2 linked regions of the Ovis aries genome follow. The protein of the gene in region 1 interacts with the protein of each later gene in a pairwise test. Links are inferred from orthologs where the notes say so. Each region holds a gene or a part of one and is shown in the gene's direction. Other genes may lie near its edges.

Region 1 (3,751 bases):
ATGTACTTATCAGCTGCTTGCTAGTGCAGGAAGTAAGAGAAATGGGTTCCATCCCTGGGAAGATCCCTTGAAGGAGGACACGGCAGCCCACTGCAGTATTCTTGCCTGGAGAATCCCATGAACAGAGGAGCCTGGCGGGCTAAGGTCCACAGGGTCACAAAAAATTGGATACAACTAAAGTGACTTAGCATGCAAGCACATACTTACAATGAGGGCAGTTTTTTGGCTGGTGATTTATTTATGCTTGTCTTGTTAGCCAGCAAACTGTGTAATTTACTGTATCTCTTATTCTCAGGATCAGATTTACAGCCAGATAGAGTCTTACTTATAGGTAGGAATATGTTGAGTATTTTTCTAGAATTCCCTGATAACTAAAGGATGGTAGATTTACATAGTCTGAGAGCCTAAGTAGCTTGGAGGTTCTTTGTTTCAGTTAGTAACTTCCAGTCAGCATAAATAACTATCTTAAAATGTCTCATTGGAAATGCCTTAACCAATACCCTACCTCCTTAGGGGTTAAAGAGTTGTTTCCAGATTAGAAATGGTTATTATACTCTTGGTTCTTTTATAGGGCATTTTAAACCAAAAGAGCTCTTTCTTTTTTCCTTTAAGTTCCTTGGTAATATCACCAAAGAGGGTAAGTATCCCTCAGTTCTTGTACATTCCTATGTGCAGAGAGCCTCCTCTTTTATAATTTGTTCATAATGTAGTGGTATGCTCTGAACCTTGGAGTATTAAATTTAAGGGTCTTTTCATGCTTGCATTGTTAACTATATAGGGAAATGTCTTTTCATTTATGTGTTCTGTGCTCTTGTCGTAGGTGTCACGTGTACCTGAGGCGATCTCAGCAGCAGCAAGTACCTGTGGTGGATTTCCAGGCAGAACTGAGACAGGCATTCTTAGCTGAGACACCAAGAGGTGGTTAAAGCAGTATTGGAACACCAAGGTAGCTGATTTCAAGAGAAAAATAAAAACAGGTTATAGCTGATGAAATCATGATCAGGATTAAACAACTAATTAAAGGGTAGGATGTTTGGAGGTCATTTAATTATTTGGGATATATTCAATTTCTTTTCCTTAAAAGCATCATACAAATATAAACACATAGCAGAAAATTTTAAAAAGTAAAAGCAGTACCTTAATGCTCTCACCCTGAAAGACTTTTGTCATGAGTTACTTTCTAGACAATGTAGTCTTTGCTTTTTAGGTAGTTTTATTCATATTTAACTTGTACTGCTTTTCACCTTAACGTAAGAGAAGTATTTCATTATAAATAGTTGCTGAATATCCTCCTAATATGTTTTAGAATTCCTTTCTGTGAGAACTTTATCTTTTCTGCTGATAGTTTGAAATGAAGTTTCAGTGATTTGCTTTTTGCAAAACAGATAGGACCATTTCCTTGGATATGCAGATGTGAAAATAAATCAAGGAATTTGAAATTAAGGTTCATGTTCTAAATTATATTATGAATTATTAGTCTTCAGTTGCCATGAGAAAGTATAGTGCCAGGTACACTTTCATCTGCATTAATTTTGTCAATTACATATAATTTATTTCTATTAAATTAGAAATACACATCACATCCATTAGCAGATGAGAAGCTAAATATTTTCCCAGGCTTATTTACTACTTATTTCTTGTTTTCTTTCCTCATGTTTTGTTACCCATTTGTTTGAGTCATCTGACAATGTAACAAAACTATTATTAACTTATGATTTGTCAGTATTATGTAGATTTATTTACAGTGTCTTTTTGTGTTAATTGCTTAGATTTTTAGAAAATTGCAATTAATTTTGATTAAATACTCTATTTTTCCTTTCTTAAGTTTAAGATTTGAATGACCTAAGTTCAAAGGGTTTAGTATGTACTTTTCAGAAACTAAGGAAAGAAGTTTATAGATGAGTTTTCTTCTAGATTTTCTTTATTTCTATTTCAGAGTATAACCCTGCAACTCAAATTAATTAGGCTTATGGCCATCATTTCAAACGGAAAAATCCTCCCCTACTGAATACTTTACCCAGCATTCTCCAGTAATTGCCTGGACTTGATTGCAAGACAGTAGAATTGATTTCAGGCAGTGGAATCTGATAATTGTCCTCAGCTGTCCCCCAGAGTAAGAACGTTTTTACATGAATAAGTGTGCATAATTGATTTTTTAACCAAGAATTTTTTGGCCCTTTAGTATAGTTTAGATACTCTTGCAAGTTCCTGTATAGTATTATTTAAATCATAATTATGATCTACAAGTAGAGTAATCTAATTTTCTAAGTTTTAAGTGCTAGTTTCATCTAAATAGTACTAGTTACTAGAATTATTTTACAGCAAGATTGATAAAGTATCTGACTCATTTATTGCCTGTTTTTATAAATAAAATTTTGTTAGCACAGAGCCATATCCATTTATTTACATAAGGCCTGTGGATATTATTGACAGTACAGTGGCAGGTGGGAGCATTCATGACAGATTGAATGCCAGGCAAGACCTACAATATTTATTGTCTTTCCTTTTAAAAGAAAAAGTCTGCTAGTCTCTTAGAGAACCACTTTCAAAGATGAAAACATAAGGTGGAGCCAGTAGGGGAGTGTTGGTGCTATAGAATGTGGTAAAGGGAAAGGTATTACAAGGAGAGTAGATGAAGTAAACATTACAGAGTAGAGAATCAGATGAATTTGGTGACAAGGGTCTTGTTAAAGTCTGCTGTACGTGTAAATGGGTAAAGACATTTAAACAATTGATATGTTTTCTTTTTCATTATAAAAATGTAAAGCATATGAGTGATAGCCAAGAAAAATGGGAAAGTAAACCACAGATTTTAAATAGCCATGTTTCAACCATAGTGGCATTTTTTTTCTTTCATTTTACCCATTTGCTTTTCTTTTGAAAACATAGTTGTAATCATGTTTTTAAACTATTCTATTTATGTATATCATTAATGTTCCTTCATTTTATTACATAATCCTCAATATGATTTGTAATGAATAAATGATGGTCCCTTCATGATTTACTTTTTCTTTGTACTTGTGTTTCTTTCCCCCTAGTTTGCTATGCTGTTACGAATATTCTGCATTTTTAAGATAGTGTATATTAGGTATTTTAAATTTATTAGGATGAGGATTCAGTTTGGGTATGCAACGTATAAAAATTAGTAATTTATAAAATGTTTTGTTATGTTGCTTTCTAATAACACAATAAGCAGTATTGATTACCATCAAGAATAATTCAGTTCAGTTGCTCAGTCACGTCTTGATACTTTGCGACCCCGTGGATTGCAGCACACTAGGCTTACCTGTCCGTCACTAACTTCCGGAGTCCACTCAAACTCATGATTATTAGAGTCAGTAATGCCATCCAGCCATCTCATCCTCTGTCGTCCCCGTCTCCTCCTGCCTTCAATCTTTCCCAGCATCAGGGTCTTTTCTAATAAGTCAGTTCTTCGCATCAGGTGGCCAAAGTATTGGAGTTTCAGCTTCAGTGTCAGTCCTTCCACTGAATATTCAGGACTGATTTCCTTTAGGATTGACTGGTGGATCTCCTTGCAGTCCAAGGGACTCTCAAGAGTCTTTTCCAACACCACAGTTCAAAAGTTCAAGAATAATTACTACAGTGATAATTTCTTAGTACCACCTTTGATGTCTCTTTTTTCCCCTTTGATAAACACTTTCCAAAATGGAAAAATTGTTTTCCTCTGGTTTAAGTGGCATTGCTTTGTGGATTAATAGTTTCCACTTACTTGTGTTTCTCACATTAGACT
Region 2 (2,595 bases), on another chromosome or scaffold:
GCTCCGGTACACACCGCAGGCCCTCTGGAGTCCCCGGCTTCATCTTGTGACGTACGCATCTGCGTTTCTGGTCTCCCCCGCTCCAGCCAGCGCTTGCCTTCATGCCCCCTGCCCCCTGCTCTCTGCCGGTGCCCGTGACCTTACTGACGAGGGCGGTTCCCTTACAGATGTCCAACATCACGGTCACGTACAGAGACGGCCGCGTGGCCCAGCTGGAGCAGGTGTACATCCGGGGCAGCAAGATCCGCTTCCTGATTCTGCCCGACATGCTGAAGAACGCACCCATGTTGAAGAGCATGAAGAACAAGAACCAGGGCTCGGGTGCCGGCCGGGGCAAGGCGGCCATCCTGAAGGCCCAGGGTAGGTGCTGCGGGCGCGGGGCTGCGCCGGGCAGACGAGCCGGGGCCTGCTAGGGAGGCCCTGTGGCTGGGCAGCCAGCTCCACACCGCTGCCCCGCAGTCCTGGGGACCCCCAGACCCCACCTTCTCGGTCTTGCCTCACTCGCCCCCACTCAGGACGCGCACAAGATCCACAGCTGCTCCTTAAGGAAAGACGGGCTCAGATGAGAGCGGATGAGTCCGCTGTGGTGACTGCGGGGAGCCTGCCCCGCGCTGCTCGCTGAGCAGAGGCGCGGCCCTGAAGGGCTGGGGGGGTGGGCCCTGTGTGGCTGGGGTGTCTCCTGATGCCCAGCGTGAGCGAGAGAGGTGGTGTGGGGAGGGGCACTCTCAGATGGGAAGTCAGCCGTCTGGGGCCATCTTTTACCCGTTAAAGGAGGCTGAATGCGATTTTCCTTTGCTACGTTCCAGAAGTGGGACGTGGTCTTCCCAGTGATGCGGCCTGATCGTTTTCCCTGGGTTAGCCCACTCAGTGTTCAGGGTCAGGGTCCTGAAGAGTTCTGCCGTGTTGATCAGCTAGGAAACGAGTGAGTCGTTAGGAGCAGTCTGAGTATCTATCGATACAGAGCCAGAAGGTCCCCGGATGCCCCTCAGGCCTGTAACTGCAGCAGGCCTGTCCCACTTCAGGTGGCCTTGGAGCTCCGAGGGGCCTTGCAGATGCCCTCCAGGAGAGCCGGTCAGGGAGCCTCCTCGCCCCTCCCGGCGGGGACTGGAGCCCTGGCCCTCCGTCCAGGGGAAGGTACGGAGGCTGAGCTGCAGCTGCTGCTCCGCTTCCTCGGGGCCGCCCTCCCGTCTCTGTCGGGGCTCTAGGAGGCGGTGCCCCCAGGTTCTCACGGCCTGCCTTCCCTCCTGGGTCAGCTCCAGGCTCTGAGAGGAGAGTCCAGAGGCCGGCAGGGTATCTTCCCTTCTTCAAAGCCACTGGTCCCCTCTTCGGACCTGAGTCAGAACAGCGGTCTTCATCGAGGGGTGGTTTGGGGTTTTCACCTGTGGTTCCCCGGCCCCCATTCAGAAACATTCCACGTGCAGAACAGCTCAGAGAACAAGAATCCTCACCCAGATTTAATAGACGTTAACACTTGACATCTGTTTCGGAATTTTACGTGTGAATTAAATGCATCTGTAGTGTTTTGCTTGCTCACCCTGGGGCAGCTCTGAGAATTCATCTTTTCTCTGGTTCCCAGGCGGGCCCCCCAAACCACCGTCCCTGCGAGGCCCTGCCCCCAGCTTCTGGTGGGGCAGTGCTGGGCCAGGAGACAGGTTCAGGGTGTCCTCTCCAGCTCTGCCTGGCCACCCGCCCCTCCTGGGGGCGCTTTCCCCGTGAGGTGTGGCGGGCGGGCCTGCTGCTGGACTGGCTCCTCGGTGGTGAGGGTCCGCACCGACCTGCCTCGTCTTTTCTCTCCCCTACCTTTCAGTGGCCGCAAGAGGGAGAGGACGTGGAATGGGACGTGGAAACATCTTCCAGAAGCGAAGATAGATTTTATCTGTTGGACAGAACTTTGCTTTTTTTTTTTTTGTTTTAGGTTATCTGGGTCGGGGTGCGTGCCTATGTATATGTCCTAGGTTATCTGTTGACATCATTTTCTTTAGATGTGGGTAAGATGTTAAACTAAATAAATATGGTGGCTTTTTCTTTTTGAGAATCTGAGGACTCTGTTCCTTTTGTAGTTTTTTTGCTGTGTTTGCTTGGGCCGCAGCTTAAGCTTTGACACCCTGGGAGGTGTGCTGGGGAAGCGCCAGTTTGAAGTAGCACAGTTATTGATGAGCACGGGGGCCGCCGTCCCAGCCGGCACTGGCTAAGCGCTTGGAGGGGCTCCGAGGGCGCACAGGTTCCCTTGTTGGCACACAGTCATGCACGCGGCAGCCTCTTCAGGAGCACTGTCAGCTCAGCTTAAACAACGGGACACACAGGTCCTGCCTGTGGGGAAAGAAACCAAGACCCAGAGCTTACAGCCTGCAAGCCCCAGTGACTCAGCACCTAGCAGAAGTAATCTAATACGAGAAGGTCACTCAGAGCCCCGTGGCTCCTGCAGCCCTGGCTTCCTAAGCAGTGCTGCGCTGACCCGGGGGGCAGGGTCCTGTGTGTTCGTCAGAGCGCTCGGCGTGTACTGGCACAGCGGCGGCTGCTGACGCAGAGACGGGGTGTGCGGCGCTGGTAGCTGACGGCAGCCCCGAACTGGAAAAGCAGCGTGGAGAAGTCGGA

What was found.
Region 2: the proteins of SNRPN (region 1) and SNRPD3 interact in a two-hybrid assay, tested with the Homo sapiens proteins (2 studies listed by BioGRID, with this or other methods). The link is inferred for Ovis aries from reciprocal best matches to the Homo sapiens genes SNRPN and SNRPD3.

The regions. Positions count from the first base shown.
Region 1 is NC_056071.1:1,223,006-1,226,756, forward strand, and holds the start of SNRPN (small nuclear ribonucleoprotein-associated protein N), read left to right. Parts: upstream 1-926; 5' UTR 927-946; exon of another isoform or gene 947-3,751. Other genes in the region: SNURF (SNRPN upstream reading frame protein), read left to right, coding at 821-926.
Region 2 is NC_056070.1:71,542,433-71,545,027, reverse strand, and holds the end of SNRPD3 (small nuclear ribonucleoprotein Sm D3), read left to right. Parts: intron 1-167; coding exon 168-360; intron 361-1,807; coding exon 1,808-1,869; 3' UTR 1,870-2,040; downstream 2,041-2,595. UniProt on the Homo sapiens protein: Plays a role in pre-mRNA splicing as a core component of the spliceosomal U1, U2, U4 and U5 small nuclear ribonucleoproteins (snRNPs), the building blocks of the spliceosome.